7 linked regions of the Macaca fascicularis genome follow. The protein of the gene in region 3 interacts with the protein of the main gene of each other region in a pairwise test. Links are inferred from orthologs where the notes say so. Each region holds a gene or a part of one and is shown on either strand. Other genes may lie near its edges.

The links.
Region 1: the proteins of TCL1A (region 3) and PRTFDC1 interact in binary tests that used the Homo sapiens proteins (3 or more experiments, as listed by UniProt). The two-hybrid records come from large-scale screens. The link is inferred for Macaca fascicularis from reciprocal best matches to the Homo sapiens genes TCL1A and PRTFDC1.
Region 2: the proteins of TCL1A (region 3) and LSM3 interact in binary tests that used the Homo sapiens proteins (3 or more experiments, as listed by UniProt). The two-hybrid records come from large-scale screens. The link is inferred for Macaca fascicularis from reciprocal best matches to the Homo sapiens genes TCL1A and LSM3.
Region 4: the proteins of TCL1A (region 3) and CADPS interact in a two-hybrid assay, tested with the Homo sapiens proteins (3 studies listed by BioGRID and IntAct). The two-hybrid records come from large-scale screens. The link is inferred for Macaca fascicularis from reciprocal best matches to the Homo sapiens genes TCL1A and CADPS.
Region 5: the proteins of TCL1A (region 3) and CARD9 interact in binary tests that used the Homo sapiens proteins (3 or more experiments, as listed by UniProt). The two-hybrid records come from large-scale screens. The link is inferred for Macaca fascicularis from reciprocal best matches to the Homo sapiens genes TCL1A and CARD9.
Region 6: the proteins of TCL1A (region 3) and TTC33 interact in binary tests that used the Homo sapiens proteins (3 or more experiments, as listed by UniProt). The two-hybrid records come from large-scale screens. The link is inferred for Macaca fascicularis from reciprocal best matches to the Homo sapiens genes TCL1A and TTC33.
Region 7: the proteins of TCL1A (region 3) and AKT1 interact in binary tests that used the Homo sapiens proteins (3 or more experiments, as listed by UniProt). The link is inferred for Macaca fascicularis from reciprocal best matches to the Homo sapiens genes TCL1A and AKT1.

Annotation. Positions count from the first base shown.
Region 1 is NC_088383.1:25,733,691-25,737,627, forward strand, and holds the start of PRTFDC1 (phosphoribosyltransferase domain-containing protein 1), read right to left. Parts: upstream 2,801-3,937; 5' UTR 2,770-2,800; coding exon 2,722-2,769; intron 1,845-2,721; exon of another isoform or gene 1,788-1,844; intron 1-1,787. UniProt on the Homo sapiens protein: Has low, barely detectable phosphoribosyltransferase activity (in vitro). Binds GMP, IMP and alpha-D-5-phosphoribosyl 1-pyrophosphate (PRPP). Is not expected to contribute to purine metabolism or GMP salvage.
Region 2 is NC_088376.1:152,443,168-152,447,095, reverse strand, and holds the start of LSM3 (U6 snRNA-associated Sm-like protein LSm3), read right to left. Parts: upstream 2,801-3,928; 5' UTR 2,760-2,800; coding exon 2,739-2,759; intron 173-2,738; coding exon 62-172; intron 1-61. Other genes in the region: XPC (DNA repair protein complementing XP-C cells), read left to right, coding at 3,049-3,148. UniProt on the Homo sapiens protein: Plays a role in pre-mRNA splicing as component of the U4/U6-U5 tri-snRNP complex that is involved in spliceosome assembly, and as component of the precatalytic spliceosome (spliceosome B complex).
Region 3 is NC_088381.1:163,769,734-163,773,981, reverse strand, and holds the start of TCL1A (T-cell leukemia/lymphoma protein 1A), read left to right. Parts: upstream 1-1,448; 5' UTR 1,449-1,508; coding exon 1,509-1,628; intron 1,629-3,193; coding exon 3,194-3,364; intron 3,365-3,776; coding exon 3,777-3,824; 3' UTR 3,825-3,834; intron 3,835-4,248. UniProt on the Homo sapiens protein: Enhances the phosphorylation and activation of AKT1, AKT2 and AKT3. Promotes nuclear translocation of AKT1. Enhances cell proliferation, stabilizes mitochondrial membrane potential and promotes cell survival.
Region 4 is NC_088376.1:125,862,583-125,866,082, forward strand, and holds part of CADPS (calcium-dependent secretion activator 1), read right to left. Parts: intron 1,873-3,500; coding exon 1,540-1,872; intron 1-1,539.
Region 5 is NC_088389.1:2,998,080-3,002,037, reverse strand, and holds the start of CARD9 (caspase recruitment domain-containing protein 9), read right to left. Parts: upstream 2,801-3,958; 5' UTR 2,090-2,800; coding exon 1,738-2,089; intron 1,301-1,737; coding exon 1,163-1,300; intron 1,003-1,162; coding exon 698-1,002; intron 559-697; coding exon 379-558; intron 295-378; coding exon 151-294; intron 1-150. UniProt on the Homo sapiens protein: Adapter protein that plays a key role in innate immune response against fungi by forming signaling complexes downstream of C-type lectin receptors.
Region 6 is NC_088380.1:41,051,788-41,055,848, reverse strand, and holds the start of TTC33 (tetratricopeptide repeat protein 33), read left to right. Parts: upstream 1-1,261; 5' UTR 1,262-1,382; exon of another isoform or gene 1,383-1,386; intron 1,387-4,061.
Region 7 is NC_088381.1:172,986,869-172,990,860, reverse strand, and holds the start of AKT1 (RAC-alpha serine/threonine-protein kinase), read left to right. Parts: upstream 1-1,192; 5' UTR 1,193-1,477; intron 1,478-3,992. UniProt on the Homo sapiens protein: AKT1 is one of 3 closely related serine/threonine-protein kinases (AKT1, AKT2 and AKT3) called the AKT kinase, and which regulate many processes including metabolism, proliferation, cell survival, growth and angiogenesis.

The sequences.
Region 1 (3,937 bases), on a different chromosome or scaffold from region 3:
TGTTGCCCAGGCTGGAGTGCAATGGTACAGTCTCAGCTTGCTGCAACCTCCACCTCCCGGATTCAGGCAATTCTCCTGCTTCAGCCTCCCGAGTAGCTGTGGTTACAGGCATGTACTACCATGCCCAGCTAATTTTGTATTTTTAGTAGCAGCTAGGTTTCACAATGTTGGTCAGGATTTTATTGAACTCCTGACCTCAGGTGATCTACCCACCTCGGCCTTCCAAAGTGCTGGGATTACAGGTATGAGCCACCTCACCTGGCCCTCTATTCTCTTTATACCCCTCTCACTACCTCTTTGCATTTTTCAAAAAATTACCTTGCTTCCAGGAGGACCTCTGTTGACACCAATAGACTGGGCTATTTACAATGTTCTCTCACTTGTTTCTTAGACTTCAACAATTTACCTACTCTATCAGTGCATCTAGATCCACCTTATTCTTTTCTAAAAGTATCTAGTATGTTATGGTAGTACAAGTTGAGTACGCCTCACCCAAAATGCTTGGGACCAGATGTGTTTCTAATTACTGATGTTTTTTTTTTTTCTTTGGATTTTGGAATATTTGCATTTACTTCCTGGTTGAGCATCCCTAATCTGAAAATCCGAAATCCAAAATGCTCCAGCCAGTATTTCCTTTCAGCATCATGTTGGCGCACAGAAAGTGTCAGATTTGGGGGCATTTTGGATTTTGGATTTTTGGATTAGGGATGCTCAACTTGTACTATATTTTAACTGTTCTACCAATGGAGTGGTTGTTTAAAAGATTCTCCCTACTAATGACTTTGTAATTGTTAAATACAGTGGCTGTTTTCCATCTTGGTATCCAACTTGCTGTCCCTGTAGCATCTGACACTTCTGATGACCTCTTGACACCGCCCCTCCCGCTCAACAATGCTCTGTTCCCAAGGCACCCACCACCCTGCCTGCCCTCCCACCCTTCAGCGTTCTTTCTCGGTTCCTTCAACCGGCTTCTCCCCCACAGGCAGCCTCCTACATTTGGGACTTTCCAGGCTTCCATCCTTAACAGTTGCTTTAATTGTTTTTTCCACATTCACTGAGCATTCCTGAACATTAAATATTATTCTTTCTGCTGATTTCCAAATCTCTCCAATCGCTCTCCTGAATTCCAAATGTGAATTTCACAAATTGCCTACAGTGCAGCCCGATCTGTGGGCCTTACAGGCACTGCAGACTCAATTTGTCCACAATGAACTTAGTGATTGCCCTTTTTGCGTTTTAGTCTCCCTCCCATCCATCACACCGCTAGGCTTGCCCCTCCTCCTGGGGCAACTGGAATGGTTTTTGTAAAAGCATAAATCGGATACAATGATTCTTTTGCATTTGATATGCGGGTCTCCGCCTGCAGTCCACATGTCTACTCCTGTGTACCCTTCAGATCTTAGCTCAAAGGTCACCGCGGAGAGGCTGCCCTGACCACCTGAGCAAAAGCATCACTCCCCGCTTCTCCTCCAATTACCCTCTATCCTGTTACCCTCCTCCTATTGCACATCTCTACTGGAAATTTTCTCTATTTGTTTACACACTGCTTGCCTGTGTCTTCTCTAGAACGCAAGCTCATGAAGACAAGGCCTTTGTCTTTTGCACCCCAGCGCCTACAACACCTTCTGCAACCCAGCAGGACAATCAACTTGTGGAATGAATAAATAAATCAACTCCTCATCCTTTAAGAAGGAAAGGGCCTGCTGTTAAATTAAGCACTGAGCCCCACATTTCAACCTGACTGGTTCTGTCTGAGTGTGTCACGTTTCCCTCCCCAGCCCACTTACTTTAGTTCAGGCCATTCATATTCATAAACAGATTATCTGTGAACGACAAGCTGATCCCTGGAAAGAGATGGCAAGTTAGCTCCACCCACCATCCTCACCACCATTGAGTTTCACATTGAACTTGACACAAGTTATAACCACCACCTTCTAGGAAAACCACTTCTCAGGGAGCAGGGAGGACGCGGCCACAAGGTCAAGAACGGATTAGATCCTAGCACACTGACCCTCTGGCTGACACCGCCAGGAGGCTCAGTTCTGGGAAACCAGCATCCCACACCCTCCCATCCGGACACACTGCTAGATATTTTACATGCATCCTCCCAATTCGCTCCGGAGCCCAGCCTGCTGTTGCTCCCTTTTACAGACAAACCATAGGTCCCGCAGGAGCGTGTCCCAGAGCTCCTGCAGAGGCCTCCACTGCCAGAGAGCCCCCCAACCTGGGTACCAAAGGCTTCAGAGCTCAAGCTCTGTCAACTTGAGCTACTTTATTTCCTGGCTGCCTTCAAAACCCCTCAGTGTCCTTTTTAAAAACAAAACTTGAAGCCCGCTCTGGAAGAGGAGGCCCAGGAAGAAGGAGGCCTACAGAGCAGCACGCGGGTGTCTCGGCCCGGCCGGCTCCCAGAAGCTGCTCCCCGTGGCTCGCTGGGATGGGGACGGCTGGGCGCCGGCGGGACGCTGCAGGAGCGGGCTACCGGCCGGAGGACGCGGGGGGACGCTGGGAACTCGGGGTGAAGGGACGGGACTCGGCGTTTCCTCAGATTGGGGGCGGGGAGAGGAGGCCAGGGTCTGAGGATGGAAGCGATCCCCGCCAGGAGGGAGAACAAAGCGGTGGCCCGCTTTCTCTCCCGACGCACGGCAGGCATTTAATCTACAAGCAGGGTGCCAGGGAGGGAGGGGAGCGGGGCGAGCCCCAAAATCGGGAGTTTGCATTTACCACGACGCCTCGCCCGTAGTCTGGCGCCTCCTCGCTGCTCCCGGCCATGTTTCTCCCGGGGAACGCGGGAAGGGAAGACGGCGCGGGAAGGAGCTGGGAGGGCGAAGGTTGCGTGGGGGAAGGGACTTGGGGATGGGGACCCGGCCGCCCCGCCCCGCCCCGGGCCCGCCGGCTGGAAGCAGCGGCCTGGCGCGGATCCAGGGCCCCGGCGCGGCGCCCCCTCCCCTGGCGAGGCCGCGGGGGCGCGGGGAGCAGCTGCCAAGCCGCGACCGCTCCCCGTGAGCGCGGGCCCCGGGCGCGTCCCTCGCGGCCACCGCTGTCGCCGCCGCCGCCTGCCGGATGGTCGCCTGCAGCCCCCGGCCTCGCCGCCAGGCCCCGCGGGGACTCGGGAGCACGAGGCAGCCCGCGGCAGGAAGAGAACGTGTCCCCCAGGCCCCTGCTTCCCAGATCCACCGTCCTAGCCCTCGGGCTAACAATCTCCTTGGCTCTTCCCTGCCAGATTTCATGCACGCGATTGTCCCAAGCAGAAGCGTGAAAGAGCCTGCGAGCCGGCGTGCTCTTGGAGGATGGGCAAGTGTCCTGGATGTGTTTTCAAACCCTGGAGCCGCCACCCACCTCTCTCCACCTCCCCTCACCTCCCTCCACTTCCCCTCACTTCCCTCCACCTCCTCTCACCTCCCTCCACCTTCCTCCGCCTTTCTCTGCCTTCCCCCCATCTCCCTCATCCCAGGGCCTGGAGCTGGAAAGATTACACCCGATTGCTTTTAGGGTGGCCCAGATCTGCAGGGATCAGATCTGGGCTTTCAGGATCCGGCCTTTCAGCCTTTGGTCAACTGCATTCAGGGGAGGAGGGGGAGAGATTTTTTCACATTCTCTGCTTTACCAGTTTTGCAAGAACATCTGGTCAGATTGTAATTGTTCCAGGTTGCAGCTTTATTAAAGCAGTCACTCTCTTCTGATTAGAAATCCTTCTCGTATGAGTCTGTTGTTCATTTCAACCCCTCTCACATCCCTGTGCTCCAGTTCTTTGTCCACTCCTGCAGGGTCCTGCTTTTTCTGGGTGTGTCTTCAGTCCCCAGGTCCCTGACATCTCATCAGCATCTTCATTCACTCAACCCAATTCGGGTTGAAGGCCTGAATCCAAGAGAACTGAACACAGTTTTCCTGATGCAGGCCTCTTTTGTTCATCTTCGGATTCTGGCACACAGAGGGGAGA
Region 2 (3,928 bases), on a different chromosome or scaffold from region 3:
TTTCAAGGGAGTGGGGGTGGGAAGGAATCTGATTTCAAGGTAACTTGATAAATTTACTCACATGTAATCTGCCTCGAAGCTCTCGGTCATTTCTCATCTTCACATAAATTCGCTCATCTAGGCTGAGCCTGATAAGATCCAGGGGCTCCTCTACAGTGTTGGTAGTTTGTTGCTGATAACAGAAACAGGTTTAGTAATATAGTACTAGAGATAAAGTAGTGCTTAAATCACTGCTATGCTGTATGACCATGTGCAAGTTATTTAACCTTTTTCTGCCTCAGTCTCCTAATCTGTAAAATGGAGATAATAGTGTCTACCTAATACTGTTTTTATGAGGCTTAAGTGACATATATGAAGGCTTAGAACAGAACTTTTCACATAGTATGTGCTATATAAATGTAGATTAAAACACGCATACATAAGAAGGAGTTACACAGCAAAATAATCATGACTATACTTTGTTCCCTCAAAATCCAAACTGCCTGACCCGATTTCAGGGTATAGGGTCTTAGGAACTTTAGCTTTATCTCAAATATTATGTAATCATAGGAAAAACACTCACTTAATGCCTACCATATACTAGTCAGAATGCCAAGTAGAGGTGTAGGTTTATGGGAAGATTATGAATTCAGCACAGGTTGAGGTTAGGCTGCCAACTGGCCAGTAAGATGAATATTTAGTAGCCAGAATAGAACACTGGTTCAAAGCACTGGCTTAGCCGGGCATGGTGGCATGCGCCTGTAGTCCCAGCTACTCCGAGGCTGAGGTGGGAGGATTGCCTGAGCCTGGGAGGTGGAGGTTGCAGTGAGCCAAGATGGTGCCAACAAGCAAGCAAGCACTGACTTTGGAGTCAGGCAGTCTGGGTTCAACTCCTGGCTGTGACCTGACACTTATGAACTGAGATTAAAAATCATGCCATCTGTAATTCTCAGATTCTTCATTTGTAATTGAGAAAGCCACAACCTTCCTTCTGGATTCTTATGAGGATGAAACTAGTTAATGCATTTAAAACAGTGCCAGGAAAGCAGAAAATATTAATACTTAGAAACGGTTCCTTTTGGCTGGGCGTGGTGGCTCAGGCCTGAATTCCAGCACTTTGGGAGGCTGAGAAAGGCAGATCACCTGAGGTTAGGAGTTTGAGACCAGCCTGGCCAACATGGTGAACCCCGTCTCTACTAAAAATACAAAAATTAGCCAGGCGTGCTGGCACGTGCCTGTAGTCCCAGCTACTTGGGAGGCTGAGACAGGAGAATCGCTTGAACCAGGAGGCAGAGGTTGCAGTGAACTGAGATCACGCCACTGCACTCCAGCCTGGGCGATAGAGTGAGACTCCATCCAAAAAAAAAAAAGAAAAGAAAAGATTCCTACTAATATTATATTATTAAAGAACTGCTGGAAACACTGGTTTTAGAGGTCAGGGCTAGGATGACTTGGGGTCACCCACATGGAAGGGAGGGTTGCAGCCATTAAAGAGTTAGATGATTCAAGGAGAGCTTCTTTAGTAAGCACACAAGGCCAGTGGAGGAAGGTAACTGAATTCGTAACAGGCGCTAAAGATTCAAAAGGCCCGATGAGAGAAAAAAAAATAACCTAACTCAACTGGTCCCTATGTCCCTCAGTTCAACAGGTGTTTGTTAAAGGATCTGATAACCAACTGTTAGATTACAATGATACAGAAGTCACAATCTCCACCCTCAAGGAGCTCATTCTAATGTGGATAGGCATATGAATAATTATAATACTGTAAGAATATGCACATGACAGAGCTCTACTGCTACCTAAGCCTCTGTCTGGGATGCCCACTTTCTGTTCTTTTTCATCCTGTAGCTTTATACATTGGCTTTTAAAAGAGGCCTCCTCTGATCATCTAACTCATTCACTCAAATATTTGTTGAGTATTTCCAGCACTGTTCTAAACCCCAAGGACAAAAGAATGAACAAAACAAAATGCCTACTGTTATGGCACTTACATTCTAGTCAGGAGAGATACACATTAAACAAAGATGCATACATTTAATATGAAAAAATAACGTTCTATGAAGAAAAATGAGGCAGGGTAAGCAGAGTAGGGGGAGTGCTATTTGGGCAGAAGTCCTCTCTGAGGAGGTGAGATTTCAGTAGAAAGTTTAAGTTGTAGCATGATCTCCAAAGATATTTGAGGAAGAAAAAGACCAGGTGAAAAAGCTTCTAGGACCATCTGTTATTCTGCATACCAGTTCCTTGTTTCCTTCATAGCACATCACAGTTCCTATAAATCTTACATATTTATATTTATCTGTTCTCCTCGCGAATATAAGCTCCAAGTCATGGCAAGGATCACTTATATATCGATGTCAGTGTCCCTGGCTCTTAGAACAGTGTCTAACCATACAAAGCTGATGTTCACTCTCTCTGCTGAATGAGTAAATAATTGTTGTGCTCAGTAATAACAACTCCTAACTTTATTATCTGGCTTTCTATTGGAATCCTGACAGCTCCGTGAGGTAGGCACGCATAATAATTTACAGATTTAAAAAAACAAAGCGAAGAGTGTGATGAATAGTCATCAGGTGGCCTTCTAACGGAAAAGACCTCAGGGCCTGCAGCAAAATTCGGACAGGGGTGTTTACGGAAAGGATGGGGCGGATTAGGCCGTGTGACTTGGAAAGAAGAGGCGCGACTGGCCATTTTTCCTGCGTTTGGAAAAAGCAGTTTAGTACAAGAAGCGGCGCCGAGCCACCGCCTTAAAATTCACTCACCTGGTCTACGTCGTCCGCCATGTTTCAAACCCTGCGCCCTTTCCCGCCTCTCGCGAGAACACAAGAGCAACGCCGAGCTCCGGAAACGTGATGCTACAATACACCGGAAATAGAAACCTGCTGTGCTCTTGCCTGCTTCCCGCGGTTTTTTAGTGGCCACGGGTATGGGGCGGAGCTTCCTTTGGGGGCGTGACTAGGCCTCCAACGAAGGGGCGCGGCCAGACGCGCCCGCCTCGGGGCGGGGCCTGCGTTCTAACGCATCGCGGCCTGGTGCGTCACTCGCGAAGTGGATTTTTCCCCGACAAGCAATATGGCTCGGAAGCGCGCGGCCGGCGGGGAGCCGCGGGGACGCGAAACGCGCAGCCAGAAGTCCAAGGCCAAGAGCAAGACCCGGCGTGAGGAGGAGGAGGGTGAGAGCGTGGCCCAGCGGGCTTCGCGGGAGACTCTGCCGGTGGGCGGAGGAGGCCCAGAGGCAGGGGCGGCGGGAGTCCAGACGCGGAGGCCGGGTGGAGGTTGCTGCGCGCGTTCCGCGCAGTGGGGGCAGCACGGCAGGCCGCGGCCGGCCCTCCCCGCTGTCCCTGCGCCTTTGTCCTCTGCACCCAGAGCGGCTTCCCGTGAGCCTCGCCCGACCCAAGCTCCTGCGTAGCTTCTTTCCCGCTCCCCGTTGTCCAGAGGATACAGCGCAGATGTTCAGGGTTGAACGCGGAGAAGGCAGTTATTTGTGTCCCAGGAAAACGGACGGACGGACCAGGACGTAGAGTGATGCAGTGTGCTGACTCCCGAATGATAACTTCAGCTGAGTCTCGCCCAGAGTTCCACAGTGGGATCCCACCTGACTTCCCCTCGTGGATATTGGATAGGCTTCTTACATTTGTCGTGGACAGTGCAGAGCTCATGGTCTTCCCCTTCAAATCTATGGTTTCCTCCGTTTTTCCAGTCCCAATACTTGTTATAAAACAAAGTCCACCTTTTTCTTATGTGCACACATCCAGTCCCGTCAGCAAGTCCAGTCAGTTCAGCCTCAGACTGTATTTCAAATTTGTCCACTTCTCTTCATTTCCATGGCCACAACCCCTGTCCAAGTCACCATCACCTTTCAGTTGAGTGACTGCAGTTTCCTCTTGACTGGCCTCCCAGCTCTGCATCCAGCAACGCAAATAATCTTTAAAAAAAAAAAAAAAATCATGCCA
Region 3 (4,248 bases):
GCACTATTTAAACTGGACTTGTTATTTCTCACCTCAAAGCTCTGGCCTGGGCTGAGACCTCTGCAACAGAGCTTATTAGCGAGCTTTTCATCATGCTCTGTGGCTATCTGGGTCTGAAGTCAAGAGCCATTCACAGGAAAATCAGCGTGAAACCTATAAGTTTGCATATTAAGTATTAACACTACTAAGGGCTACAGTGGAAAAGAGGTTTGCTGAGCTTAAGGGCTCTCGCTCCACCCCCAACTGCCCTTGACTTTTCTCTTCTATGTTGTATTCCTGGTAAATCCCGTTATATCTCGACTACCTTAGGCCACCTCAGCTCTTTCTTGGGAATTAGGCTGTCTGGATAGGCAAAGAGGCAGATATCCAGCTGTCAAGTGAATCAGATGTCCTCATCAGATCTCTTAATTTCCACTTTTGTGATATTTCAAAGGATCACAGATTATTTTCTTAGTGCCTGGTCAGAGAACCAGGAAAGAGCTAGAAGGTGAGACACCAAACTCCGTTCCATGGTGATGTTTGAACCAGGTTGGAGCTGGTTTCACATGTTTTTCATTGTGCATGACTTTCTTAATTGCCTTAGTGGGAATGTGTTACTGCAAAATAAAGTGAAATTGTTTTCCTTATTGCTTGTAATTTACAGAGGGATGGTTTTGATAATATAAACCAAGGACTTTTCAAATCCATTGATCTTAGGGTGGAAGGAGGGGTTTCTTTTTAAGTATTCATTTTGAACTATGCTTTCACTAGTAAATTCAAAGCCCAAGGGGAAAAACCCATGTTTCTCCGTTTTGTAATAGCTATTAGATGTCCACAGCATCATCAGACCTGCGGAAAACGCATGCTTTGTGTATGGAAGACGGAGCGTCAGGAGTTGTTCTTTGCCAAGAAATGGACCCTGACACTCAAAGGCACAAGCTGGAGGAGATCCAGGGAACCCGGGAAAGCCCAGGCCTAACTCAGGCCCGCGTGGGTCTCTTCTGATCCCAGAAGATGAGGACTGGGTCCCGGCTCTGGGCATCCTAGTGTCGACTGTGAGTTCCCAGCAGAGGCCCATAGTCCCGGTCCGGCAGCCGAGGGAAGCGGCGGGGTCTCCCAGAAGAAGAAAGGGCCAAGGTCACCCCGGGTGACTCTCCAGCAGCAGCGGAGGGCGGCGGTCGGGGTCGCTGCTGGCCGGGGCCTCGAGGAAGCCGCGGGTCAGCCAGGGCTGGGTCTCCGTTCCCAGGCGCTGCCACCGTTCCAGGGAGCCAGTCAGGCCGGGACGTAGCGCCTGCGTGGGACCCTCACTTGCCACCGGGACCTCCACAAACCCCGCCCCATCCTGCCTTACGCCCCGCCCCAAGGTCGTCCTCCCGACCCAGGGTCCCGCCCCAAGGCCGTCCTCCCGCCCCGCCGCTTGGTGGCGGCCGCATGCTGCCCGGATATAAAGCGTCGGCCCCATATCCCAGGGACCAGCGAGCAGCCTGGAGAGGCTCTGGCTCTTGCTTCTTAGGCGGCCCGAGGGTGCCATGGCCGAGTGCCCGTTACGTGGGGAGGAAGTCACCGACCACCCGGACCGCCTGTGGGCCTGGGACAAGTTCGTATATTTGGACGAGAAGCAGCGCGCCTGGCTGCCCTTAACCATTGAGGTACAGCCAGCTCTGGAGCGGATGGCGAGGCAGCAGGGGCAGCCCCCGGGAGTTTGAGATGCCCTAGGAAGGGTGAGGCCTTGAGAAGCACCCACTGTGGGGCAGGGAGGATCCCCACAGATGAAGCCACTTTGAGCCGGGCTCTGGAGGATGAATAGGAGTTCTCCAGGCAGGGAAAAAGGGTGGGAAAACCGCAAAGAAATGTCGGCCAAAGGAGGGGACCCAGTGCCTGTGGAGTGTGACTATAATGTTGACTACAGCAGGGCTTTTCTGGGCTTCGGGGTCCTAATCCTTAAAAATGGGTATCTCTAAGTGACTCATCCATACGGCCGATTATCGGAATCATCTTAGGTGGGTCCCAGAAATCTGTATTTTAAAAAGAACCCTCAACAGCTCAAAAGAACACGTCAACCAGGCATAGCAACCACTGCCCTAGAGTGTGAAGTATTTTCCATGACCTCTGTGCTTTATTTAGAAAACAAATTTAACAAGTGATGTCGTAGTATAAGCGCCGGTATTGAATCAATATTGACTTTGTTTTATGTGTGATGCCTTAAGATGGGTCCTTAGTCCATGTTAAGTTTTTGTTAAACAAATATATAACTCTTTTACAAGTATTTGGATTTACTCGATGAAAAAGAGTCAAAAAATGTTCAAACTCTTTCCAAACATAGACTGAAGAAAGCATAAAAAATTAAAACAAATTAGAACATGTATGTCCAGTAGCAAACAATCAAAAATTATTGAGCGTTAACTGTGTCTCTACAGATGAGAAACTGAGGCACAAAAATGTACATTTGTCCAAGGTAGGGCTGCTAGTAGGTAATGGGGTTGGAATTCTAGGCTGTTAACCACCACCAAAATTTGCATTTTTATTGGCACTTCAATTTTTTAAATATGTTTTTACTTTAATAATCAAGTTAAACATTTACTTTTTTAAAATCAAAATTTGAAGAAATAATCTGAATATTCGGTGAATTTCTTTTTTTAAATCTCTGGTTGAGAAATCTCTTCAACGTGACACCAGAATCATAAACCAGACAATTTTTCATATAATCATGATAAATGCCACACAAAAACCCGCTAGCAAACTGTGGGACAGATTTTGCCTCACATCATTGAAAAGGCCAGTATTCTTTTTCTTTCTTCTTTCTTTGTCTTTTTTTTTTTTTTTTTTTTTCCGTAGAGACAGGGTCTCGCTCCGTCACTCAGGCTGATCTTAAACTCCTGGCCTCAAGCGATCCTCCTGCCTCGGCCTTCCGAAGCACAGGAATTACAAGTGTGAGCCACTGCAACCCGCCAGAAAAAAAGTGTGCCTTTCATGGCCCTGTCTGGGTGGCTAGACACATGTGCGTGCTGGTGATCCTGGCCCAGCCAGAGTCCCTGAGAGGAGCATGCATGGCCTAAGGAAGTGAGCTTCAGGGAACAGTGATGACCGTCATTTCATACTCGGACCCCTGCCCAGATGGGTGGGTGGCTGGCAGGAAGGACTCTGGTTTTCTGTGCCTGGAGGAGCCCTGGCAAGCGGAACCTGAAAGTATGCCCTGTGCTCTTCTTCTCCTCAGATAGAGGATAGGTTACGGGTGCTCTTTCGTCAGGAAGACATCATCCTGGGGAATCCTATGACCCCCACCCAGATAGGCCCAAGCTTGCTGCCTATCTTGTGGCAGCTCTACCCTGATGGACGATACCGATCCTCAGACTCCAGTTTCTGGCGCTTAGTGTACCACATCAAGGTGAGTGTGCTTCTCCCAGGGATCCATCGGGTGATCTTGGGTTTCCCCTCCTCCGTGTCTGGCCTTAGTGGTTTATCTTCCCTCCATCCCAGTCCCAAAAGCATCAAAAATTGGGGGGAATGGACAACTGAGGATTTCTAAAGGACTTTCCCAGAGAGAAGATAGATCCTCTGAGGTATCTAACAGAACCCTACCTCCCCTTCCTCCCAGCCCCCCAGCTGGCCGCAGGAAGACATCTCCCGTGGGCAGCCACAGGCTGAAGGCTGGTGGGAGGAGGAGCAGTCTCCGAGAGCCCCTGAAATTCACACTTGGGTTCCTACCTGCTGTTTCCAGCTAGGGGAAGGCGCAGGAGTGAGGAATGGAGGGAGTGGAGGGCTCTGGCCGATCAATGCCTTCTCTGTCTGCCTCTCAGATTGACGGCGTGGAGGACATGCTTCTCGAGCTGCTGCCAGATGACTGAGTGTGGCACGGTGAGCTCCACTGACCAGGGCTTGACCCCTCTTAGTCCACAGTGGCTGTACCAGAAGGAAAGACCACCCGTTCTCCATGAAGGCAGTGCTAACCCCTCCCCGACTGCTGCCATCTCAGGCCTCCCAGGGATGGGAGAGTCTTCCTGGAGGCACCCATGTCTCTCCCTTACCACTTTGGGAGCCCCCTTTATCGCAGCTGCTCATATCTACACAGTACTTCACAACTTCACGTTTCAGCGAGTACTTCAGTTCCCATTGCCTTTTGTTTTTTTTTGTTTTGAGTCTCGCTCTGTCGCCCAGGCTAGAGTACAGAGGTGCAATCTCAGCTCACTGTAAGCTCTGCCTCCTGGGTTCATACCATTCTCCCGCCTCAGCCTTCCAAGTAGCTGGGACTACAGGTGCCCAACACCACGC
Region 4 (3,500 bases), on a different chromosome or scaffold from region 3:
AAATATGATCCTGCCACTGAGATAAGACAAGAAATGGCATAGCAATGGATTCATTCCAATGATGCTGAGGTTTGGGCAAGCACAGAAAATATGCATGATAAGCTGTTGCAATAAGAAGAAAAATTAATCCCTAGAATAATTTTGTACCTAGAAGGTTTAGGAACACTTGACTCTCTCTGTAATTCGGAATCTTGCTTATAATTCAGGTGGATGACTTTTCAATATGGAAGCTATGACACCTTCTTGTGGTGGACATGCTGGTGGAGGTGATAGTGATGGTGGAGGCTGACGCCACCTGCTTATCCCATTCTAAAACTGCTACATGGTGGGATGTAGTTACATTTTAAATAAAAATGATTAAATGTAATTTTATATTGATATTTGAAATTTCAAAATACTTTTTGACCCGTCACAGAAATCTTTCATCTCCAGATTTGTAATCAATGTTTTCAATTAAAGTTGGATGACATGAAAGTAGATACCACCAATATCTTTGAATGTGATGCATGTGTTGTATTATGAAATGCTAAACAGACTCTTACTAAAGCATCCAGAAAATTCTAGGTGATATATCATAGTTGATAAGACCCTACCTACTAGTTAAAATAATTTTCCATTATCCATTTATTAATTCAATAAACATTTACTGAGCATTCACTATGTGTCAAGATTTTATACACTGGGAATATTAGCAAACAAGGCAAAGATGAATCTCTCTGATAATTCTTTGAAGGCGAAGGGCAACATAATTACCAGGAAGGAAGGCCCTTGTTTAAAATGCAGATTCCTGGGCCATGCTCTGAGGCTGCAGAATGAGAATCTCTAGGGCTAGGGGCTGGGAATGTGCATTTTTAAACTGCTCCTAAGAGACACCCAGTAAGAATTCCAGACTGCAAAATAGGCACATAATAAATATTTATTGAATAAATGAATATAATGCTAAGGTTAGGTAGGATATCAAGATACGAGATACCTCGCTTTCCCGGTCCTCTATCTAGAGGAAATACAGGCCCATTTTGGGGTGGACCCAAGCAGAGCCTCAGCTCTCACTATCAGAACCACTCAGAAATTCATGATGTGACTAATATACAGGTATTAGGCCTTGTGCAAATTTCCCATTTTAAAAAATTTCTCTTGACAGGCAGGTGCTAAGTTCAGTTGTCTTCCCACCTGAGGAAGCACAAGCCCTTCCACTGGCAAACACCAAAGGCAGAACCATATTTTTTTAAAAATTGATTTTTAGCACTTTTGACACATGGAAACCAGACCTTACTCATAGGGCCAACTTACCCATTAGACACAATGAGCTCAGTGCCTAGGGCCCCTGAGACTTTTAGGAGCTCACAGAATTTTTTTTTTTTTTTTTTTTTTTACGAAGAAGAAAAGCATGAATATAATGTAGCCTAAATTGTATTCAACTTTTTACCAGTAGAGTAATAACTTTTAATCCATTTAAAAAAAAATCAAGAAGCATCTCATAGAAGTCGGAATGCAGCTCTGCTTACCCACAGCTCTGGGCCCAGGGGAGAAACGCCTTACCTGGCAGGCATTGTACAGGAGCTGATGTTCGAACTTCTTGATCCCAAGAATGTTCTGGAACATCTCATAGAGTTGCTCCTTGCTCAGAATCAGCTCGGAGGCTGCGCTGGCTGTCATCCGGGCCTGCTGCTTCCGGGGGTCCTCTTCTCCACGGTAGATGGCATCAAATTTGGCCATCCAGGAGCTCAGCACAGTCTCCTTGCTGAGGCCATCAATCTCGGGCAGGCTGCGCACCCTCTTCTCAATGTGCTTCTTGAAGACCTCCCGGGAGTCGTTGGCAGAACAGCCTCCACTCTGCACCATGCGGGCCACACGGTCGCTCTTCAGGAACACCTAAGCAAGAACAGGGACAGGAAAGACAGTAAGAGAGTTGGCCACAGAGGGACCAGTTTCCTGGGGCTGGACACTGGGCCAGCCCACCTCACGTGCATCCCAGGAGGAACCACTGTGGGTCTCGTCTTGCCCTACCACCTCCTGGCTGTGCAAACTCAAACTAGTTACTTACACATTCTGCTTCTGTGTCCACATCTGTAAGATAAGAATAACACTTGTACCTACCAGGTTGTTGCAAGGGTTAAATGAGATGATACTATCATGAGAGGCAGCACATAGCACAGAGACCTCTGCCCAGGCTGCATAGGTCTTGCCCCTTAGTGGCTGTGTGACTTTGGGCAAGTTAACCTCTTTGTACCTCAGTGTTCTCATTTATAAAATGGGGATAATAGTATTTATTTAATGTTCAATTTCCTTTTGAGACAGTCTTGCTCTGTCACCTAGGCTGGAGTACAGTGACATAATCACAGCTCACTGCAACCTCCGCCTCCCAGGCTTAAGTGACCTCCAGCCTCAGCCTTATGATTAGCTGGGACTACAGGTGCATGCCAGCACATCTGGCTAATTTTATTTTATTTTATTTTTGTATTTTTGGTAGAGTCAGGGTTTCACCATGTTGCCCAGGTTGGTCTCAAACTTCTGGGCTCAAGCAACCCATCCACCTCGGCCTCCAAAAGTGCTGGGATTACAGGCGTGAATCAATGCACCCAGCATTTAATTTTTTATTTTAAATAGAGGCAGGACTTTGCTCTGTTATCTAAGTCAGACTTCAGTGGTGATCATGATGCACTGCAACCTCAAACTCCTGGGCTCAAGCCATCCTCCTGCTTCAGCCTCCAAGTAGCTGGGACTATAAGTGTGTGCCAGTATGCCTTGACAATTTTTAAAACTTTTTGTAGAAACAGGGTCTTGCTGTGTTGGCCAGGCCAGTATGTATTTTTAAATGAGGATTAAATGTGTTAACATGTAAAACACACACAAAATAGTGCCTGGCCCATATTACACTTGTTGCTGTTATTATTATTATATGTAAATGCCTGGCATGATATCTGGCACATAGCGTTAAACATTAACCACTATTTGTATCTCCTTTTATCCCTTCAATGACACTTTTAATTGGAAGTATACAAGTATCAGGTAAACATATATTTAATTATCTATCTTCCTTCCTTAAATGTAAACTCTACTTGGGCAAGGAATGTGTCCTTGTTCCTTGCAATGTCTTCAGGTCCTAGAATGTCTTCAGCAGTTGACACTTTAAAAGTGAATTAAGGGTGAACATAGGTATTATGTTAAGTTTATTTTGTAGATGAAAAACCGAGACTTCAGAGAGGGGAAGGGACTTTCCTTTGGTAACTCAAATTGTCTAACTACCAATGGATAGTCTTTTTACTTCACCGTGGTTACCTTCCTTCCCGCAGAGTTCTCCTGCTTAATGAAAACCTCTTCCGCCTGGTGGAAAATCCCTGGTTGGTCTGCTGGTGCTGCCTGGTTGAGTCCTGGGACCAAGCTTTCTATTAAGAATGTCTTACTTTCGCTCCACTGCCCACCATTCGGAAGCTTACATGAGCTACACGGTTCTGGGGTGTAATACAAGGCAGTGAAGCCGCCATTTCATATTCACGGAG
Region 5 (3,958 bases), on a different chromosome or scaffold from region 3:
GCTCAGGAGCATGTGGTCAGGCCAGTTGGGATGTGGGGGGAGGCCATAGGAGTCCCCAGGCCCCACCTTCCAGGCACGGAGTGGGCGGAGCTCAGCCCACCCAGCGTGGCTTGGCCCCCAGGAGCTGCGTCGCCCTGCCTGCCCTCCTACCCGGAGGCGTCGGGCCTCGCCCTGGCGGAGGTCCTTGCGCAGGGAGAAGATGGTGTTGGCCTGCTCCTGGTGGTCCCGCAGTGCCTGCCGCCAGTCCTCTTCCAGTACCTGGATGTAGGGGCTGCTCCTGTCCAGCTTCCCCTCCTGAAGGGGGCAAAAGGCAATGGCCTGGCTGGGAAGGCCCCGGCTGTCCTGCCCGGGCTGCACCCGCCCTGCCTGCGGCCCCACCTGGACGGAGGCCTCCAGCTCCTGCACCCGGGCCTGGAGCAGGGCCTTCTGCTGCTGCAGCTCCCACAGCAGCTCCTGGCTGGGCCTCTGCTCCATGGCGTGCCTCAGCTTCAGCGTGTGCTTGCGCTCCACCTTGCAGTCGTCCTCGGCCTTCATGAGGCTGTGCTTGAGCCGGTCAATCTGCGGAAGGTCCGGTGAGCCCGGCTGTCCCCTCCAGGTGGTGACAACGGACCCACGGGGCCACCCCCGACCGCCCCAGCCTGCAGACCCCACCAGGCCAGGCAAGGGGGGCCTGGTTCCCCGGGGGCAGTGGGCGCACCTCCAGCTGCAGGTCACGGTTCCGCATGAGCGCGGCACCCTTCTCCTCGCTCTGGCGTGCCAGGCGCATGGCCAGGTCGTAGTTCTCCTCCTTGCAGCGCTTGAGCTCACGGCTGCCGGCCTCGCACTCCTCCTTGAGCCTCTGCACCCGCTCCTGGTGCTTGCGCAGCAGGCTGTCCTTCACCCGCAGCTCCTTGATGAAGTCATCCTTGGAGCTCAGCAGCGCGGTCAGGTCCTGCACCTTCTTCTGCAGCTTCATGACCTCGGTCATCAGCAGCTGAGTCAGGCCTGACTCCCCGGACGCGTCTGTGGGCCGCGCCAGCGTTAGACGGTGCCTGTGTTCCCCGGTGGCCCAGCTCTATCACGCCCTGCGCTGTGGCAGGAGCTCAGGGCTCCTAGGGATGGGGCCTGGGCAGAGGACCCAGCACCACTGCCCGCCCCCACCACCGCCTTCCCCGTCACTCACCGATGATCATGGAGAAGACACGGGCCGGCTCCTTGCCCGTGACCTTCTTGTACAGCTGTGGGTAATAGAGTTCCAGGCTCTCGAGGAAGGCCACGTAGCCCTTGTGGCCGGTCCGCTGCAGGATGTCCAAGAGCACGCCTGCGGGCCAGAGGGGCCTAACTGGGGGCGGGGCACAGGCGAGGCAGAGGGCTGGGGTGGGTGGGCCCGGGGGCAGGGACAGATGGAGGCTGGGATGTAGATGAGGTGTGCTGTGGTTTGGGTCGTGGATGAGGCACCCTGTGGGTCTTGGTACTAGGCTGGGGACAAAGTGCTGTCCACCCATCCCTTGGCTGTCTCAGGAGCCCCCGTTGTGGTGGGAGTCCCACTGCCCCTCTTGGCAGCACCGAGCTGGCAGGAGAGGCTGGGGGATAGGGTGGCCATGTGCCAGGGTTGAGGTTGGGCCTCACTGGGACGCCAGGGGCAAAGCCAGGCGGGGCTCTCCTGGGGTCGAGGGTCAGGGTGGCAGAGCGTGCAGCCACCTCCAAGCGGGCTCCTTGGTTGGGTTTGGGGCCTGGGGCCTGCGGGGCAGCACTGACCCACTTTCCGTTTGCGGATGACCAAGTTGGGGTCACTGAGCACCTGCTCCTCATCGTCGGGGTTCAGGACCTTGCACTGCCGCAGGTAGGGCGTGATGCGCGAGGGGTCGATGACCGACGTGAGCATCACCCGGAAGCCCTCCAGGACGCTCCAGCACTCATCGTCGTTCTCGTAGTCCGACATGGCCTCGCAGGCAGGCTGGGGGGTGTGGGGCAGCCGCTGAGAGTGACGCCGGCTCCTGCCCCCACCCAGGCCCGGCTCCCGCTCCTTCTCAGACGCTGGGCCTGGGCTCTCGTCAGGGCTGTCGAGGGGGTCAGCCCAGGGGCATCCAGGAGAGGTACCCGGCTCCATGTCCCATCCCCATGCTGGATCCCCCAGGGAGGCGGCAGAGACAGTGACCCGCTCCCCGCCAGACCAGCCGAGGGCCCCTCCACAGCCTTTCCCAGCCCCTGCTCCTGCCCCTTGGCCATCCGTGTCACCCAGATATGCAGCGGGGGAGACACAGATGGGGTCTGAGAGAGGAACGGCCTCCACGGCATGACTCGCCTCTGGCCTCCGCCTCCTGGACACTCCCACCACGCCCTGGAGCCTACAGGGGCAGCCACCTCCACGGGTGGGCAGCTGTGGGCACCTGCCTGGCACTACGGCCAGCCCAAGCTGGGTGAGAGCAGGTTGGCCAATGACCCTCCCACTAGGGCAGCAGCTGGGGGAGCCGGTTCTGGCGGAACTTCCCCATTCCCCTGACCGACGCCTGCTCACATCCCGCGCTGTGCCCTCCCTCCTCCATGGCCGGCTGTTGATGATGCAAGAGTGGCCACCCAGCCCTGCCCCAGCTGCCAGGGTCGCTGCACCGGCCGGGAAGAGCTGCCCACAGGAGCGTGCCTCTGTCACTCCCCGCCGGCCCCGCAAGCTGGGAGGGGCTGTCGGTGTTGCCCTTGGCTGGCCAGGAGTGCTGCTGTGCTGTTTTCTCCAGGTTCTTAGGTGACGGGCACCCGTCAATCTCTGGACTCTTCTCCTGCCCCCGATGAGGCCCGACCCCCATCCCACTGGCTGAAACAAGAGAACTACCCATGTTGGGACCAGCCACTGCTGTCCCTTTCTGCCAGCGCGGTGGAAGCCTCAGCCGCTGAAAGCCACTCCCTCTGGGACTGGGGCAAGGCTGGGAACAGCCACATGGTCCTGCCTCCCACGCAGGTCCCCGGTCCTCAGCCTCCAGCCCCACTGGGAAATGCTGGTTTCCTGCCTAAAGGAGCTGGGTCACTACTCCTGGAGACACTTGGTCTTTTGAAGTGTTTGGTCTTGGTCTTTTGAAGAATTTCTCAACTTCCCACTGTACTTTGTCACCCCATTCAGGACAGTTTTGACAGACAAGGGGCTGAATAGAAACACCGGCCACACAGCGGACAGTCCTGGGAACACTGGGCCCCTTTCCTGCCTCCCCAGCCTGAAATGCAGGGTCCCATCTGCCACCGTAATGCCACTGAAATGAACATGTCTCCGCCCAGTGGCCATGAAAGGGATGGGGCAGCGCGGCGGAGGCTGCCTGGCTGCCTGTGGGAAGCCTCATGCTGCTCTGCGGGGATCAGCGCCAGGATTCTGAACGAAGCCGGCGCCGACCTTCTTGGTCACTTTTCAGAAAAGTACCAGACCCACCCACCTGAGGGTCTTCCAAGGAGCCACCTGCACGGCAGACGCACCAGGAGCCTGGGACGTGGAGCCTCGGGGAGATGCTGCCTGGGGCTGCAGGGAGGGAGGAGCGTGCCGGACGCCTGTGCACTTCCTGATGGCTTAACTCCACAGTCCCGCCAGTCCTCCCACAGGGGGACAGTCCCTGGTGGCCTGCCTTCTGATTCGTGCAGCCCAGGAGGCCCCGAGAGGCAGACGGAAGTGGAAGTCCTCTGCCCTCCACGGGAAAACTGCTCTCAGCCCTCCCAGCCTGGCCGGGGGCCAGGGGTCCTGAGAATGCCCCAGAGGCCCAGCCCGGGCACCTGGCAAGTAGAAGAGACAGCAGAGACCCCCAGGAGGCTGGACGAGGCCAGACCGCACCCAGCCGCTTTGACCTGGTCATAGGTTTCTGGAGGCTTCTTCAGGAGGGCATGCTCTGCCCTGTGCGGACACCCTTGCCCTCGCCGGCATCTCAGGACAGCGGGGCAGGGCATGTGCAGGGGGGCACACAGCCACACAGCATGCCCAGCACACGCCTTGGTCATGAAAGGGCTG
Region 6 (4,061 bases), on a different chromosome or scaffold from region 3:
TGGTGTCATTACTGTAATTCCTGCGGAGGCGCCAGCACCTTGACCTGCCGTTGCTTTTCCACCATGAGTGCAAACGTCAGCATTGTGCAAAGGGCAAATCACGTCTTCATATTAGTATGAAAATAATTTTGGCTTTGAAAGAGTGTCGGTGACCCTCAGGACAATGTTGGTCGACATCAATGGTTCTCAATGGGGCAGGGTGGGAGGGGTGGTTTTTCTTCCAGGGAAAATTTCACTGTCTGGGGAAACCATTGGCTGTCACAACTGACCAGTGGTGGCATCCCGTGGAGAGACCAGAGATGCTGCTAAGTACCCTACAATGCACAGGACACCCCGTCCCCCAACAAAGCATTATCCAGTTTGAAATGTTAATGGCGCTGAGGCCGAGAAAGCATGACTTCCAAAAACGAGTGTATAAATTAACAATCTTGATTACCTTTGTTACATGTGCTCGTTTATTTTCTTTTCTTTTTTTTTTTTTTTTTTTTTTTGAGACGGAGTCTCGCTCTGTCGCCCAGGCTGGAGTGCAGTGGCCGGATCTCAGCTCACTGCAAGCTCTGCCTCCCGGGTTTTTACGCCATTCTCCTGCCTCAGCCTCCCGAGTAGCCGGTACTACAGGCGCCCGCCACCTCGCCCGGCTAGGTTTTTGTATTTTTTAGTAGAGACGGGGTTTCACCGTGTTAGCCAGGATGGTCTCGAACTCCTGACCTCGTGATCCGCCCGTCTCGGCCTCCCAAAGTGCTGGGATTACAGGCTTGAGCCACCGCGCCCGGCCGTGCTCGTTTATTTTCAAGACATGACGCACAGCTACGTTCAGGCCGTAATACTGCCTTCCGAGTCCAACTCATTGTAACTTTCACGTGAAGGCTGCAGTTCAGCCTGGAGCCTCCCTGACCAGCTTCCCCGCCCCGCCGCCTCGAGCCCTTTATAACCGAGTTTTGCCTCGCTGTTCTCTGCGTCTGGCCGATCTCATCAGCTAGGCTATTAGGCAGGAGCATATCCTAATCCTTTGAATCACGTAAAATCGTTTTCCCCTCACCTTATTCCCCACTGACTGGACGCGACGCTGCGCGGTACCGCTGGGGTGGCTCCTCCTGGTGCGCTCCTCACCCCGCGCAGCCTCATTTTCCCGCGCTCCTGCGCTGCGGTCATTCGGTGCTGCTGTCAGAGGGCGCGCCCAGCCGCGTGGCCCTGATTACTACAAATCCCAGAAGGTCATGCGGTGGGGGCGGCCGCGGTGACTTCTGGGATTTGTGGTCTCGGAGAAGGGATTGGCGGAGGAGAAAGACAGAGTCGTCTTTCCTTTGCCTGCTTCTGTGGACTGTTCGAACGCCCCGGGGTGGGCCAAACCCGTTTCTTAGGAAACCAGGGATCCAGGGCAGGCAGGTAGGAATTTGGGCGTGATAATTTCTGCTTCCAGTGGGCCAGAATGTAAACACGGGGCCTTGGGAGGTGTTATCAGGTAACTGGGGTTGCCCGGTCGGCGGTGGAAGCTGAAGAAGAGGAGGAAAACGAGGCGAGTGGGTGCTGTGATTGGGGCAGAAAGGACCTTCGGAGTAGGAGTAGAAACCCGACGGAATCCGGTAGAGCCTGTTCGCTTGGGTTGGTCTCCAGGGACAAGCGAGTCTAGGGGTCGGGCCCGCAGTGGCACCTTCGCCAGGCTGCGCGGCCGCAACGTTCGCTGCGCGGTGGGAGGGGCGGGTCGAGCCGGCCGCTCCCCGCTGGAGAGGTGTCTGCGGCCCGGGGCGGTCCGTGCACGCGCAGGTGACGTCCGGGGCAGCCTTTCTGAGCATTTTTATTATTGTTGACCAATGAAGGGAAAGTCGCTAATACTGGTTTTTCTCTTGCGGTGGCGTTTTTTGGTAAATCGTTTCTTGGATTCCTCACCTCTGAATACCTCCTTCTACCCAGAAGGTTGCTGTTGTGATTTCCTGATCTTGTTCATGTAGTGGTTTTTCCCTTTGGGTGCTGCATCCTCAGACAGTCAAGACAAGCCCTCTCTGGCAGCTGGGTAAATGTCAAGCCGTCAACAGATATTGAGCGCCTACTATAGGGATCATTGTAACAGTACAGGAATTTAGAATACAGCGTCGTTGTTTAGAGTTGTTATGCCATTCCTGAAATATAATGCTGTATAAAAGGTTGAATTTGTCTGGTTTCATGAGTTTAACATGAACATGAAACCGGTGTGATTGTGGTTTACCCACATGGTTTCTTATTCTGGTAAAAAAATGTTAAGTCTAGGATGTTGGCACCTCGGGCTTCTAACTAGACTTAGGAAACCCTCCTTCATAAGAAGTTTTCATTTCATGTTCAGATAGTCACAGAGGAACAATAAACTCGTACGGCTTAAGATATCTGAAACAACTGGGAGTGTTAAATTTTCCAGTGCAGAAAGTGCTTTGCATGTTCTAGGATTCACACACCTTTTTAAGCCTGGCTAAGTTTACTTCAAAGCTTAAGTCCTCCAGAAAGCCTCAAGTGTCCCTTCTCTGATGTCATGGCATCCTTTGTTTACTCTCTTGTAGCGCTTACCGTGTATTGAAATTGACTGTACTCTGTGGTTTCCAGACACTTTTGAAGAAAATATAAAACTTCGCTAATGGCCTTGATAACAGATTCATGCTTTTACACCGTAGTGGGCCCTTGATACTACTGTTTGGTATCTCTATTTATCCTTTGTTGCTTTTCCTTATCTCCGCAGTAACTATTTTAGATCTTTTCCGTTTTTCTCAAGAACTCAGATATGTTATTTTCCTTTTACTTTGAGCAGATGACTAGCCGCTGTTTGCTGGAGAAATGTGAAGCTTAGGGCATGAAATTCCTCATTTTCCTTTCCCTCCATCCCTGAACTTGCCTGTATGTTTCACTCAATATTAACTCTTCTTTTTGTCTGAGAGGAATGTATTTTTGTCTCCCTCTTTCAGGTTAAACTTGTCGATTGCTAGTGGCATCAGGCCTCCCACACCCTCATTACCTCATTCTGTCCTGGCCTCTGCAGCCTCTGATCTCTAGAAGGTCTCAAGGGATCTGTGGAGGAGAATGACTCAAACACCTGAGGCAACAGTGTGCATGGCTTTTTCACATATGGTTGAGAACCACCACCTTGGGCCTTAACCTGTGCTTGTCCCCAGCATTTGTAACAGTGGTTTGGGTTGGAAGATGGGGAGGGTAATCGGAGTCTGAATGACCTATGAATTTAAAAAAATCTGTAGGTCTGTATCTCACTTTTTCCTTTCCTTCCGACCCTATCACAGCCCCTCATATAATCTACAGATCTGATCAATGATTTTTTTTTTTCCTTTGATCAATGATTTTTATTGTAATTTGCCTCCAGTAAACACACTAGGTTTCCTTTAGTATTAGTAGGGTTCCCACAGTGCCTGGTGCCTCACATTATGAATAAAGAAAGTTTCATTTGGAAACTTGAAACCGGAAAACGTGGTCATCATTCTTGTTACCATTAGGGATAATCATAAATACAAGACTTTTTTTTAATCTTGTCTTACACTGATATCTTGTGAGTCTTTCCTAATGATCTGTATTTTCTCAGGTTGTCCTCACTGTGTGCCTTTCAACTTCTGTTCCATAATATCCACACTTCCCGTTTTCAGCCATCTTCCCCTGTGATACTTATAATCATCTTCAAACATGGGAAACTCATTCTCCTATATTATGATCAGTCTGGGGAGAGAGTTCGCATTGTCCTTATTCCCCAGCATAATTTATAATCCATTAGTCCTCCAGGTTTAAAAAAAAAATCTCAGTTCCTGTGGAAAGCTTGTGGTTCACCTATATCAGCCTGTATATTTCTTTATTTCTTTTTTTTTTTTGAAATGGAGTTTTGCTCGTGTTGCCCAGGCTGGCGTGCAATGGCACAATCTTGGCTCACTGCAACTTCTACCTCCCAAGTTCAAGTGATTCTCCTGCCTCAGCCTCCCAAGTAGCTGGGATTACAGGCATGCACCACCATGCCCAGCTACTTTTTGTATTTTAGTAGAGACGGGGTTTTACCATGTTAGCCAGGCTTGTCTTGAACTCCTGACCTCAGGTGATCCACC
Region 7 (3,992 bases), about 9.2 Mb from region 3:
GCAGGAATGGGGAGTCCCCTGCCTGAGGAGCCAGTGCCCCCATGCAGCGGGAGAGAGTCCTTCTCTTGGTCAGCCCCAAGAGGCAGGGATGAAGCCCCAGTTTTGGCTGCAGACTCTGTCCTGAGCACTGGGCCGAACCTGCTGCCTCTGTCTACATCTCCTCCCACCCCCTCCCCTGCTGCCAGCTGAAGTCACTCAGGCTGAAAATAAAAATGCTCCCCCCACCCCAATACTTAGCCTCAGGAAGGTTAACTCACAAGAGTCCCTCTTTCACAAAAGGGTTATTATCAACTGTGGGCCTCTGGAATGGGGGAGGGGCAGTTGTTGGAGGAACTTCTGGCTGGGAAGGGGTCGGGGTGGCAGTCACCTGCATCGTCCTGTGAGTGTGCAGGAGAAGGGGGTCTGTGTCCCATTCACTCACTCCATACCGGGGCCATCTGCCTCCCAGTGGACTTCGGACTGGGTGTCGGGGCTGACCAAGTCCACCCAGCAGGGAGGGTCCTGGGCTCTCAGCTGTCACAGCCCACCCTAGACACCGCTCCTCCTCTGTCTGGTGTCTGCTCCCAGCTCGAGGTGGGACCCAGGCAAGGTGTGCCCCTCTTCTCCCACTCCCCAGCAAAGTCTCCCTTTTGTGAGTGTAGCTGCCAGTACCTAGGTGAATGGTTGAGTCCCCTCGGAGCCTTCCCGCTCCTTGGAGGCACACCTCCAACTGACCTCCGCACTTCCCCCAGAGGCACAAGGTCCTGGGATTGGGCCTTTTAGGACACTCTTGGCCGTCCCTCCACGCCCCCCAGAGTGGGGCAGTGCATAGGTGGGGCACGGCCTGAAAGTCAACCTAACCCACCCCCGCCCCGCGCAGTGGAGGCAGAAGTCCGGGATTCGTCCCTGACCGGTCTCGGGCCTGGTCTAGTAGGGTCAGGGCAGAGCGAGTCCAGAAGCGCCGGGTCACTTTACAGATGGGGAAACTGAGGCCAGAGAAGGCGTGGCCCCGGGACGGGCTGGCTGGTGGCCGGGCTCCGTTAGCGGCCCAGCCCAGGCCCTAGGCCGCCGGGGGCCGCCCCTCAGCCCAGCCGCGCGCTTCCCGGGCGCGCTCCGCCCTCGCCGCGGGCCCGGGCGGCCGCGCGGTGGGGACGCCCCGGGCGGCGGAGGCGGATGTGGGCGGGCGGCTCCGGGCGCGGGGCGGGCGCGGGGCGGGGAGAGGGCGGGCCGGCGGCGGCGGCAGGACCGAGCGCGGCAGGCGGCCGGCCCAGCGCAGCCAGCGCGGCCCGAAGGACGGGAGCAGGCGGCCAAGCACCGAGCGTCGGGCACCGGGCACCGAGCGGCAGCAGCACGCGAGGCCCGGCCCCGAGCAGCGCCCCTGCCCGCCGCGGCCTCCAGCCCGGCCCCGCCCAGCGCCGGCCCGCGGGGATGCGGAGCGGCGGGCGCCGGAGGCCGCGGCCCGGCTAGGCCCGCGCTCGCGCTCGGACGCGGCGGCCCGGTGAGTCCCCGCCCGCCGCGGCCGCCCGGGCCCGGATTTCCTCCCCGCGGGCCGGGCCGCTTTGTTCCCGGCCGGTCGGGCCGGGGCGCGAGCCGCGGCGCCGCCAGAATGGAGGAGCGGGAGCAGGAAGTGGCCGAGCGGGCCTGGGCGGGGAGGGCGCGGGGCGCGCGGGCCCGGCCAAGGGAGGGCGGCCCCACGCCGGGCGCCAGGGGTGCAGGCTGCCGGCCCCAGCCTCCCTCATGACCTTGGGGAGGCCGCTCCACCCGGCGAGGCCGGGGCCCGGGAGAAGGGGCGCTGCCGGGCCTGGGGCTGGGGCTTGGGGTGCCCCTGCGGGCCGTGGGGCTCCCCGGGCGTTGGGCCAGCGAGACAGCCGGCGGAGGTGCCCCGGGGTTAGGAGAAAGGCTCGCCGCGGCCGGCCTTCAAGTTTGTGGGAGGGCCCCGGAAGGAGACTTCATTTCCCACGGACAAAAAGTTGTACGTGGTGGCGGGGTACCCAGGCTAGCCACAAAGGACTGACCCTCCTGGGCCCCGGAACTGCTTCCTGTCTTGGGTGGGCCCTGGAGGTCCTGCCTGCTCGTCCCAGAGGCCGAGGCTTAGAGGGCAGCTGGGGCTTGCCCCTTAGATTGAGTATCCTGGGGCGCTAGCGAGCCTTGGTCCTGTCGGGACGGCCCCTGAGTGCTGCTGTGGTAAGCGGGGTTGGCTTGGGCCCCTGCTCTGTAGCCAGAGGCCGCCCCACATTCACTCCTGGGTCTCTTGGCCTTGCTCCAGGTGGCCACTTCTTGACTGCTTTGAGTCCCTCATCCAAGCAAAGGGCGGAGTGCATTGGTGGAGGCCCGGTTCCCTCTCCCCGGAGCTGTATAGACTTATCATACACCAGGGTTCTGGAGGCAGATGGAGGAACCCTTTCGAAACACAGAGTATTTTTTTTTTTTAAGTTGTGACTTAAATAATAACAGTAGCAAGAATATGTGCTTATGGTAAAGGCAGGTGGCAGGTACGGAGGCTGTGGGAAGTTGGGGTCCCTCCGCCTCCACAGGCAGCCCTGTACTGGCCTGGTGTATACGTTTCTGTGCAGACGTACACCACCCTGTGTGTGCACAGATGTATTTTTACACATGGCTCTGGACAGCTGTCTGACTCTGTCAGCAGCAGGCCTTGGAGGGGCGCAGGCCCTGGTGGGGGGTGGGGGGACATCCAGAGGTCTTTGAGTCCAGCCCTCTGCCTCCAGGCCACGCCCACTCTGTCGTCAGAGCCCCCTGTGCCTGAGGCGTGCGCGGCTGGGAGCCCTGCCCTCCTCAGGTCTGGCCTGCTTTCCATCCTGCTGAGTACTTGGGGCATTTCCCTCTTTGAGCAAGGTGTAGTCTTCCCTGTCCTGGCATTAGACACGAGGCAGTGGGCCTTCCTGCCATTCTAAATGTAGCTTAAGACAGTCAGTGCAAAGCACCCCTCTGTGGGTGTCCAGCCCAGGCCTCAGGAGGCCAGAAAGGTTGCCTGGCGGGAGAGCATCTTGGCTGACTGTGGAAAGACCCATGTTGGGGTCCATTCCACAGAGGTCGTCAGGTATCTCTGCCTGGCCTGGAGGTCCCAGAGAGGACCCTCCTCCCCTCAGGAAGGCCCGTCTGGAAGGGTAGCAGAGGACTGCTCACAGGAAGAGCATGCCAAGTGCTCTTTCTCGGGATGCCAGGGGTTGGTGATGTGGGAACTGGGTTTTGAGGGATGCCTAGGAGTTCATCTATCAGAGGGGAAATGAGGAAGCCATGCAGGATCAATGGATAAAGTGTGCTCAGGTGAGGGCTGGCTGGTGGGCCACTGCAGGGTAGGGGCCTGTCCAGTGCTCCCCCACTTACTTGCTGCCTCCCAACTGCTGTAATTATGGGTCTGTAACCACCCTGGACTGGGTGCTCCTCACTGACCGACTTGTCTGAACCTCTCTTTGTCTCCAGCGCCCAGCACTGGGCCTGGCAAAGCCAGAGACGCCTGGTACACGTTGGCCAAATGAATGAACCAGATTCAGACCGGCAGGGGCGCTGTGGTTTAGGAGGGGCCTGGGGTTTCTCCCAGGAGGTTTTTGGGCTCGCCCTGGAGGGCTCTGGGCTGCCGTTTGCGCCAGTGGCCTGCATCCTGGTCCAGTCTTCTTCATGTTTGAATTTCTTTGCTTTCCTAGTCTGGGGAGCAGGGAGGAGCCCTGTTCCCTGTCCCAGGATCCATGGGTAGGAACACCATGGACAGGGAGAGCAAACGGGGCCATCTGTCACCAGGGGCTTAGGGAAGGCAGAGCCAGCCTAGGTCAAATAAGTCTCAAAGGGACTGCCTGGAGGAGGCAGCCTGTCAGCTGGTGCATCAGGTTAGGCAGGCTGGGAAGGCCTTTTGGGGATGGGGATGATTTGTCCAAAGGCTCAGGGAGGTGGGAATGGGGAGGTGAGCAAGGCAGCAGCTCTCAGGGCCAGGTTGTTGAGGGGAGTGGTGGCAGGGGCTGGGGACTCAGCCTAGAATGAGGAGAGGCCCAGGTCCAGGG